Linked DNA regions of Caenorhabditis elegans. The protein of the gene in region 1 interacts with the protein of each later gene in a pairwise test. Each region holds a gene or a part of one and is shown on either strand. Other genes may lie near its edges. The genes, in order: tcer-1, cyk-1 and mab-10.

The links.
Region 2: the proteins of tcer-1 (region 1) and cyk-1 interact in a two-hybrid assay, tested with the Caenorhabditis elegans proteins (one large-scale study listed by BioGRID).
Region 3: the proteins of tcer-1 (region 1) and mab-10 interact in a two-hybrid assay, tested with the Caenorhabditis elegans proteins (one large-scale study listed by BioGRID).

Annotation. Positions count from the first base shown.
Region 1 is NC_003280.10:7,048,244-7,051,998, forward strand, and holds the start of tcer-1 (WW domain-containing protein), read right to left. Parts: upstream 1,829-3,755; coding exon 1,728-1,828; intron 1,670-1,727; coding exon 1,643-1,669; intron 1,584-1,642; coding exon 1,241-1,583; intron 746-1,240; coding exon 559-745; coding exon of another isoform or gene 527-558; exon of another isoform or gene 195-526; intron 41-194; coding exon 1-40. Other genes in the region: ZK1127.5 (putative RNA 3'-terminal phosphate cyclase-like protein), read left to right, coding at 2,432-2,561, 2,609-3,015, 3,063-3,665.
Region 2 is NC_003281.10:7,027,552-7,031,306, forward strand, and holds the start of cyk-1 (WAPL domain-containing protein), read right to left. Parts: upstream 1,655-3,755; 5' UTR 1,646-1,654; coding exon 1,166-1,645; intron 1,030-1,165; coding exon 936-1,029; intron 552-935; coding exon 490-551; intron 443-489; coding exon 206-442; intron 153-205; coding exon 1-152.
Region 3 is NC_003280.10:10,526,418-10,530,172, reverse strand, and holds the start of mab-10 (NAB transcription cofactor mab-10), read right to left. Parts: upstream 2,090-3,755; 5' UTR 1,926-2,089; intron 801-1,925; exon of another isoform or gene 375-800; intron 1-374. UniProt on the Caenorhabditis elegans protein: Transcriptional cofactor. Heterochronic protein, involved in timing of a subset of differentiation events during the larval-to-adult transition.

The DNA.
Region 1 (3,755 bases):
TCATCAGGATTTTGTGGGATTTGACCATGTGGCATTCGCTCTGAAAAAAAATCATATGTTAGGCATAAATATGAAAAATAAAATCTAATTTATATTCAGAGACCGCCCCTACGTGGATCCCGAATCTCATAGTCAAGAGATAATGATGATTTTCTATTATGACTTGATGGAAAACTTAGAAAAGTGGACATTACACATTAGTGGATGGCATGATGCTCGCACGGCATAGAATGTCCTTCTCGCAGCTCGTAAATCGGTAGTTGTTCCGCAATTTTTTCCTGTGGCTGTGATACAATACGGACTTTTTGATTATTACCACTGATTTTTATGTTTCTTTTTTCCAAACTTATTATCAAACTTTTCTAACAAACGCGTTTCAGCTTTGACAGCAATGAAGAGGAACGACTAGAAGAGCGACATAATCTTATGGAGAGATGAACCTAAGAATCTGAAATTTCTGTGCCAGGTTTAAACTTAACCTTCTGAAAATTAATTATAAATGTGCAAAAAGATGGAATCAAAAACATCAAATGCTAAAAGTTGAATGCAATTGCATACCTTCACGATTCTTTTCCTCTTCCGTGGCTCTATGAATGAGTTGAGCCAATTCTGGTTGAGTGACTATTTTAGCGTTTTGTGGTCGCTCCCAAATTGTGTTCCTGTTAACTGGATGATAAAAATACTTTTTTCCTTCAGCTGTCTCAGTTTCAACCCATAACTCTTGTCCTTCTTCACATCCCGAAAGCTGAAATACCGTATTTCTTCTATTAGTATGGCCTCCCTATTAGACTTGCACTCCCTATTGGTATTGCACCATGAACACCCTCCGAAAATTAGTATTGCACTCACTTTTAGTGTTGCACTCCCTAATAGTCTTGCGTCTACTTTTTTTCGGTGCAAACCCGCCTCACTAAATTTGAGATTTTAACAACATTTTCTGCGTCGTTTTCAACAATTTTCGTGAAAATTTTTATAAGATTGAAGTTTTTGAACTTTTTTGTTGCAATTTCAATCAAATTTTCTGAATTTTTACATAAGATTCGAGTTTTTTCAGAACAAAAGTAGTAAGCTCAAAGTCAGAAAAAGGCCCTGAAAATTAGTATTGCACTCCCTAATAGTCTTGCACTCCCTATTGGTATTGCAAGCGGGAAGACCATCGAAAAATAGTATTGCAGCCATATTAATAGAAGAAATACGGTATACGTTTCTAGACTATTTCAACAATTGAACATTTACTCACTCTCTTCAGACGTTGCTCCTGATCTTGTGGATTCGGCCCTGGTGCTTGAGCACCATATGCTCCAGGACCTCCGTTATAAGGCCCTCCGTACGCTCCTGGACCTCCATTTGGTGCAACACCATAACCTCCTCTGTATGGAGGCATGTATCCACCACGACCTGGCGGCATACCGCGACCGCGCGGAGCAAAACCACTGCTCATACCTGGTGTAGCAAATCCACGACCTCTACCTGCGAATCCTGGAGGAGCCATCCCTGGTCCACCTCGACCACGTGCAGCTGGGGGAACACCGAAAAAACTTCCAGCACCGCCTGGCGGTCCATTAAATCCTCTACCTCTGCCGCTGAAAAAATGTACTGATAATTTATTTAGATTGAGCATGTAAATTTAATTTTATAATACCTTGACGACCCTCCTCGACCATATCCACTGAAAAATAATATTTTTACGGTTTTCGTAAAATTAAGAATACCAAAAAAAAACATACCCAAAATCATCGCCTCGGCTTGATTCGTCGTACTGCTGGTCATATTTATTGTCGTGGTCTCCGTTATAATCATCGTAGTTCTCCTGATTTTCGTGGCTCATCTGTAAAAAAGAGCAGTTCATAAAGTAAAATCCAAAAACAGTAGTCTAGCATAATGGAATTACGAAAAGTTTCAAAACTATATCTAGTTGAGCTCTATAAAGATCAGCTATGTATATAACAGAGTGTTAATTGCTTGGCTTATATATTTAGTCATTCCCATTTACCCTAATAATACTTTGTAAACTGAAAACAAATAAAATAGTTGTAAAAAGCTCCGAAATATGTTGCAAAGGACCGCGTCGCACACCGCGTCGCGCTCTGAATTCTCACAATGGAGCGCGTTTGCATTATTTTTTTTCGCGGAATTTTTTTTGCAGTTGCAGATGAATACAAAAAATTAAAAGGATTTAAAAAAAGTCTTTTTAATTAACTGATTTATTAAGACACAAAACGAGTAAACGTTTTCTTTATTTTTTGCTGATTTGCAGATAATATATGCTCCCAATGAAAACTGCTCTCTAGCATTTTTAGTTTCTATTTGAGCTCAATCCTCAAATTGGAGAATTTTAATTCAAATAAATTTAATATTTATATGCTGTTATTTTTCAATCGCTTGTTTTTCTTCAATTTTCGTCTTGACTGATGGACACATTTTTCAGGTAATGTCCAGTGAAACTCTAGAATTCAGTGGATGCAATTTCTTCCGAATCAGACTAGCGTACTCAATTCTCAGCGGAAGACCCATCAGAATAATAAACATCAGAAAAAATGATGATAGACCAGGAATCAGAGGTCGGTCTACTCATTATCAACTTGTATCACATAAAATATTATTACAGATTTCGAATCAAAACTGATCGGTCTACTTGAGAAAGTGACGAACGGTACTAAAGTTGAAATCAGTCGAACAGGTACTCAAGTCATTTTCCGACCGGGAATGATTACTGGCGGTGTTGTTAATTTGGATTGTGGTACCGAAAGATGCATTTCTTACTTTTTGGAGCCTCTTCTATTGCTTTCTCCCTTCTGCAAAGTTCCAATGGTAATCAAATTGAAAGGAGTTACAAACGCACCTGGTGAAATCTCAGTCGATGGTATGAAAGCTTCTTGGTTGAAAGTTTACAACAAATTTGTGCTCAATGATGAGAAACTTGATATCAAAATTCAAGCTCGAGGATTGAAACCAGAAGGAGGCGGTGTTGTCGTGTTTACCGCTCCAATTGTTAAAACTCTTCGGCCAGTAAAAGTGAGTTTACTTTATTCGTTTCTTCCCAAACAAAATGTTAATTTAAGAGACAACAAGTCGGAAAAGTTTGTAAAATTCGAGGTCAAGCATATGTTACTAAAGTTACACCTTCACTAGCTTATCGAATGATTGACGCTGCAAAGAAAGCAATGCATGGGTACATTTCGGATGTTTATATTACTGTTGATCAACGGAAAGGTGATGCTGGTGGCGCTTCTCCAGGATATGGTCTGTTCTTAACCGCCGAAACGACAGAGGGTGTTATCTACCAAGCAGAAGCTATTTCAAGACCGAAGGGCGAATCAGGAGTTCCAATTCTTCCAGAAGACATTGGAATTGAAGCCGGTCATGCTCTTCTTCAACAAATTTACATGGGAGGTGCCCTTGACAGTAGTGCTCAAATACTTGCAAGCACATTTATGACACTCTGTCCTAAAGATGTTTCACACTTCCTCTACGGTCCTCTTCCAATGTATAGTGTACACGCACTCAGGCATCTCAAACAGTTTTTTGAGATCGAGTTTAAAATGGAAGACTTTAAAAAAACATTGAAGGAAGAGGAAGCTGATCTCAAAACAGGAAGTGCCGATAAAGCTATGGTTACCGCTGTTGGTGTAGGATACAGCAATTTGAACAAGACCATTCTATAAATTACTCGATTTGTTTTTTCGTTGTTATGATTTCTCTATTGTTATTGTTGTTGGTTTTCATTTAAAAAATTGTTTCACATTAAAGTTTTA
Region 2 (3,755 bases), on another chromosome or scaffold:
CATCTGACGATTTCTTGCAAGAAATCAATCAAATCAAGCTCATATTTCGAGCCAACTTCACTGCTTCTCAGTCGTTTCAAGACTAATGAGTAGAGACAGCAGATAAGATCAGCTCCAGTGCGACCAGACTCGTCATGAACTTCTACGGCGAACTGAAAATAAATATGTATTTTAATAGTAACAATATCTATCTTAAAAAACGAACCTTATTAAGAAATGAAACACCTTGACCAACTAGCTGAACCCGTACAGTAACAATATCCTGCTTGCATTCCGGAATGTTTTTCGTTTTCAATATTTCTCCCAATACTCGTACAACCCATTCCGGAGACCTTCCCTTCGCCTGATTATCTTGTTTTCTCGAATTCTCAATCATCATTTTCATTTGATCAAGTGGCGTATTAGAAATAATTTTATCAGCTTCGGGCAGACCTTTGTCGAGCTGCAAAATTAGTAGAAATATAATAAGAACTCTATAAAGAATATTACCATAATTTTCCTGAATTCTTCTCGTATTTCGTCTTCAGTTCCTGACAAGGCAAATGATTCTCCTGGAACTATTTTATATTGAAAATGGAGATCTTCGAAATAATTCAGTTTAATGCTCGTTTAAAAGTGAAATACGGTCAATGGGAAAACAATTTGAAAAACGCTTCCTATGACGCTAAAATTATTAAATATCATAATAACATGTTTTAAATCTACAGTCAAAAATAAGTGAAAGAAAAGTGGCAAAAACTCACAATCAGTTTTCACCGTTTTTTCACAAATCACATTGTGAAATAATAAAAAAATTTCAAAATATTTTTGAGAAGTTCTATGACATTTTGACATCTTAGCACCATAGGAACGGGTTTTAATTTCAATATTGACCGTACTCTACCTTTAACTAGCGACATAATTTTTATTTTCAAGATTAAGAAAAAAAATATTACCTGAAGAATTTGAAGCAATCGAGAAACCTCCAATACTTTGTGTGCCTGCATATGTACCGTAGTCATTGTTTGAATATGACGATGATGGAACATTCTGAAAATAAGAAAATATACTTGTGGGGAAAATATTAATTTGAGGATTTTGCAAACTCTAATTATTATTATTACTTTTCTCTAATAATAAGATGTTATTTCTGTATTTTTAGGTAGAAGAATTCCCAGATACGAACATTTAATTTCTGTCGTTGTTTTCGTTTAAATCTGCTCGATGAGAACAAATCAGTCCATCTTCCAGAACCATTCGCTCCACTTAAATGAAATGGACTCCTACGACTAGCAAAATCAGCAGCTCCAGCCAACATTGAATGTCTTTCAGCGCTTCTCCTTTTGAATTTCTGATTAGGAACTTGATCTTCCAAGAAATGAGAAACAGTTGCATCTTGTGCACGAGTCGCTTTTTTCTTTTCGCGCAATTGCACACGAGGCTCGTCTATATCAGAATTTTCAGAATTCGGGTGAAGAAACTGCGCTTGTAGAGGGTCTAGAATTGTATTTTTTGGAGCAGAATTAGAAGCTGATGGTGTAGGAGTCACGTCTTCATCGTCATCCGTTGAATAACTTGAATGACGAGATTGGGTAGGAAGTCGATTCATATCAGCTAGTGAAGCTACACGTGGCGTGTCAATTGACTCATAATCATCGCTAGACATTTTTAAGCTGGAAATGTTTCAAACTGAACGAGATTTTGAACGGAACGAATTGAATTAATAAAGTGGAGCGGATTACCGAAACGGTCAAAATAACCTCAATACAGGTAATAAAATCTAATCGTAAATGAAGGTAAAACCGTGAATTGAATTGAAATTGTATTGACAAGTGCAGAGAAATCAAAAACCAGGGAGAAAAATAGTGAAGAAATGAATAACCGATTGGAAAATAATTTTCTTACGAAAAATAGAGACTTTGTTATTTTCCATATACAGAAAACCAACTAAAAATTGAAGGCAATCAGCGAACTCTAGAAAAGTGAGAAGAAGGGGAAAAAGAGAAGTGGAATGTCATCTGATTCTTGGGGAGAAAAATACAAAAATGAAATCTATTCAAATTGAATGGCAGGCAAATCGACAGGGCATGCGGGTCGTTGGATGAAAAAGTGAGAAATGGAGGAAATGTGTGAGAACCTAGTGATAAAAGAACAAAATAAATATAAAATAAACACAGTCACTTCGGTATTTGGAGAAAGCGAAAAAGGGAGAGGAAGAGAATTTGAGAAGTGCTCCGGAAAACAAGAAAATGAACTCGGGAATGGAGATTAGCTCATTCTTCATTAAGTTTTGAAATAATATGTTTTCAGCCAGCATATAATTTGCTTAAAATCTAGTATCTGAGAACAGCCTATTTAATTTAAACTCTCACGTTTTCGCGGAAATTCATAAACTGCAATCCTACATTTTAAGATATTTATTACACATCGTTGAGTTGATTGGGATTTTCGTCCTCATAAATAAAATATATTTAAAAGGAATCCAACTACTTGTTTTTTGGCGGCTAACATAAAGCTCGTTCATTCTTGAAGGAAATTTGACACTGTTTTACAGTATGCAAATCCCTTGCTCTCTTCTCTTTTTTGTCTGATTTTTCCCGCCAAATGGGTCATTGGGCACATGTGAAGGAGATAAGAGGACTCATGGAGAAAGTAGAGAAGGAGAGACGGTCAAAATGGAGACTCATGTCAAGTGGACAGGCTGGTGGTGCTTTTTGAGCATATGATTATCATAGACATATCACTGTTGACAGAAATATGAATGATAGCGTGTTCGCCGGCCGGATGCTCTACAATGTGTATTTTCTATTCACACATGCATGAAGTCACTGCCGATCGTTCAAAATACTGAAGTGCAAATATAAATTTTAAAGAAAATTACTACATGTGCAATGATCGCTTAATTTCACGAATGATAGAACACCTTAAAATGTCTAAAAATGTTTTCTGGATACGTTCTCAAAAAATATGTGATAATTCTACAGTAATCCGATGTTAAAGACTAAGATTTCTTCAAAAAAATTCGGTGCCTCATGCTGGAATCGAACCAGCGACCTTCTGTTTACTAGACAGACGCTCTGCCACTGAGCCAATGAGGCGGACAGAAAACCGGATAGTAAAGCCGTTGAGAAGAGAGAGAGAGAGAGATACGAGACAAAGATATCAAGGCAATTGGGTGGGTTTTTTAACACTGAAAATAAGACAATTGTTTGAAAACTGAAAATTTTGTTAGATAAACTTTCAGAAAGTAACATTTAACTTCAAGAGGAAAGATTTCTATGATCATTGGTAACTGATAAGCTAAAGAGCAAATAGCATAGTCACATAGACATTTAACAGAGAGAGAACACCTAGATATTTGGTAAACACCTAAAAGAAAAACTGTTTAAGTTGCGAGATGTGACATATGAGTTTAGAAACGCTAATTTAAAATTAGGCAATTGTGGGATACACCTAGAATAAGAATAATTTAAACAGATAGAAGTGACACCCTTTCAGTTAAGTCCAAATGGTATACAACCAAACTTTAAAACGAAACGAATTGCGCCAGACAAAACGAAATTCTTCCAATTGACTGACCGATGGAAACTTCTCTCTCTTCAACACAAAACATCTGTCCTCTCGTTCCAAATCGCTAGTGTTAACGGGCGTCAACTGGCCAGATTTGTTTTTTTTAAGGTTTCTGGATACATTTTTTTTTAAAATTATCTAGGATCACCTAGATATCTCTCTCTAGGATATCTAGGATAACGTCTCAACAATTTCCTAGGTTTAAA
Region 3 (3,755 bases), 3.5 Mb from region 1:
ATGTCGTTGGAAAGTTGCAAAAGTTCGACAGGAAGTTGTAAACTGTCAAAGTTTTACAGGACGCTGCCTCCAAAACCTCCGAGCCAAGTTGGTATATATTATTTTTATAATCAACTACAGAAAACACACTGATTGTATGCTTAAAGAGAAAATATCAAACAATTATTAGAAGGTACGTGTAAACTACTAGAAATTAAATATTGTAAGCTGATTTATATTTTTCCCAGAATGAAAATTAATTGAAAAATGCTGAACTACTGTATTAACTGCTTTACAACACTGTAGGTTCCCTATCGAAGTCATAAAAAAGGTTTGCAAAAAAGGTTAGAATAGAGTGAAGAAGAGAAGAAAATGGGAACATATCGACACAGAAAAGAGAGTGGTATGGCCCCCGATCCCTGTTCAAAAAACCCCAGCGTCCGCCTATCTACATCCCTGACGAAATAGTGTCTTAAACTAAGAGTGCACCCATACATCTAACTATAGGTCAAAAAAACTCGGCGGCGCGCCCGGACGCAAACGACGACACAAGAAACATAGAAAAACCGGCAAACCATTGGGCGAGAAAAAGCGTTTAAAACATAGAGACACAGAGACAATCCTACAAAAAACGTCTCTCGCCACTGGGCTTCTTCGGTCGTTCGGACGCGGGACGGACCGGGAGGTGAGAATGGAGAAATAGGAGGGAGGGAATAGTACGGGAATCGGGGGAGATTTAGAGAGAAAAAGAACCGATGAAAAAACCAAAGAGGCGTCGTTCGATTATTATTTGAAATGTTCGGTTTACTATGCGAACGATTGAGGTGACTGTGTGTGTGTATACACAGGATGGGCTTGGGAGGAACGGGACAAAAAAGTGACCTTTGTTGACAAGTGGATGTCTGGGGATACGAAAGTTCAAAATTTACAGTAATCGGGGTCAGACTTCAGAGAGATTTTGGTAGCTTATCTCCTATATCTATTAACTTCTGACTAACAGAAATACTTTCAAGTTTTGGTGTTTCTTACCGATATGATAAAATATTTAGGCGGATAGTTTTCTTCCTGTTTGGACAAATAGATGTCTAGAAGCTATAAGAGCATACTAATCAAAACTCAAGCTCCTCCTCCTTCTTCCAATTCAGCTGTTCTCATCCAACAGTACCACCATCTGTTTGACCTCTTCTTCACCTCGTTCCATCGCTTTTTCCAACTGAAAAACCGCTCCGAAAACGTCCTTTTCGAGGCTGGCGCGCGCACGCTCATTCTTCTAGCAAAAAAAGCCCCCATGAAATTGTCTGCACATGTCCATGAATTGATGAAAATAGTGTAGACATGGGAGGAGATGCGCGCAGTATGAGGTGAACAGAAAAAAAATTGGGAAGCGATGAAGGGAGAGAAGGTCGACGACGAACAGGCGGATGGGACACAACGGGGAATAGGTGGGAGGTTCGAGAAAAAAATGGGAGAAATGGAGAAAATAGACATAAAGTGAAGAGTGACATTCATAACTAATAATCTAGAAGTTACAGTATCTCCCAACGGACGAAACTAGTGATCTCCGGCAATTCTGGAAACTGTCCGAGCTCGGTCGATTCGGCAAGTACTACATCAGGGGTGTGCGTCAAATTCGCCGAGTTTGTCGTTTGCCGAATTTGCCGAGCCGACAAATTTTAAAAATGTGGATTAGCTGATTTTGCCAAATTTGCCGTGCTCGGCAAATACTAAAAAAGTCCATTGTCAAATTTGCCACACTCCTGACACGGAGGCCTTATAGTTAGTTTCTGAACTCTAGACCTCCTAGTCAAACAAATCAAAACTAAGGCTTTGGTGGAAGGCAGGCGCGTTTTCAGATCCTGGTGCATGCCTGAGACCTGCCTGCCTTCCGTTCTTTTCTCATTTCAGTCAATTTGATAGTTAAAAAAAGAAAAAACTAAAAACCTTACCTGATACAGTTCTAACTCCGCAGACGACGAAAACGGGATGACGTGGTTCTCTACCGACGAAACCATTCAGCCCGTGTCTCCGAATATCATTCGCGTCTGGCGCCGCACAAGGTCCGGGCACGACCGGGTCAGGAGGCTGTGGAACAGTGAGGCCGGGGTCTATAATAAAAAAGTGGTTGGATAGAGGTGGAGGTGATAACTGATAATATGCAACGCTAGAAAAAAAGGAAAAAAATTAAGAGAACATAGGTCAACTGGAGGGGGGAACACGCGTGCGTTGAAAAAAAAGCAAAGGCATTGAGAAATCGAGAGGAACAGAGGAACAGACAGAGCCAGAATAGTGCAGCCACACTCTATATTCTCTCTGCAATCTCTCATCTTCTCCATACTATTTCTCATTCAGTGATATCAGCAGTGGCGCGGCGTCTTCTCAGCGGCGGTGGTACCGGTCGCGGACACCCAGGGCAGAATTGCCCGGGGGGGCGCAAGTGACCCCCACAGACCACGGGGGGACGCATGAGGGAAAAAATGGCTGGCACTGCCTGGGGGCGACGGCAGTGTTGCTGCACAAAAAGTGCGTCTACACTCTCTTCGCTTTACTTGCTCTTTCTGCACTTTTTCTGCTGCCCTCGGCCGCGTCCATTTTTTGTGTGTTACTGGCAGCGGTACCAGTCCGGTGCCGACCCAAGGAGCCCAAAGGTCTCTGGAAGAGCAATTGATATGATCAGAAGCAGTGGAAGGCATGAAGAGCAGTTGAAGAAGGGGGATTCAAGTTGGTGTTTGGGATAGTGAGACTTTTTTTAAACCGCTGAATCACTGGAGAAGTACTACATGAGTACTGTAGACTGTATATGTGATGTTGTATATGTTATTGATATGAGTACTGTTGAGTACAGTAAGGCCGCAAAATTATTTTGAAACTCATCTTATTCGATTTTTTTTTCAGAATTCACCAAAACAAATGTGTGGTGGAATTCAATAATGTTCGTAACTTCAAAAGAGGATTTTATCAAAAGTTGCCAAATATATTTTGTTAAAAGCGTTTTTTCGGCGAAAAGGTTGCTGAAATACTTGTATTCTAAAAATCATTAGTATAATTTGAACATGTTTTCAAACAAAAGTATAATTCGTTACAGTAATGCCAAGATTGAATCCTGGAAAACACCTTCTTTCATAAAAATGAAAATTTTGAAAAATGGTTTTTACTGATTCGTAGAACAAAATTGTAAGCAGATGGCGTGGTTCTTGAAACTTCTGGATTAATCCATCTGAAAAAATTCCGACTGATGATTTTGATAATGTGTTGTTTGATCAAAAAACGAAATGGAACTGATGCTTTAGGATTTTTCTAATTTCATCTCACTGCAAAATATACAGAATCTATTGTATTTGGAGTAGTAAACAATTTGATTGTTATAGTTTTTACAAAAAAATATTTTGAAAATTCTGGAAAGTTGGTAACTAAGAGTTTCTTCACAGTTTTATCTTCAGAAACTTTGAGGGCTCATCGTGAGATTGGTTCTGGAAACTCGTATTTAGAAGTTCATAAACTTGTGGGATGTTGATATGTTTGCATGGCAGAATGCAAGAGGATTTGGTGGAATTGAGGTATGTATCAACACGTTTTTTAAAATAAAATCAAAACATTTTCAGACAAAATGTTAGTTTTCAGACAGCATAACTTCCATGTTATGTACCTACCTTCTTCTGACGTATCAAATTCTACTATTCAATTGTACGGAGAACCCTCAACGTTGCCTTACAGTTAGTGGGGTGCTTCATTACCCATATACACTTGAAAGTGCTCTAGTTTTTTATGAAACTTCTGAA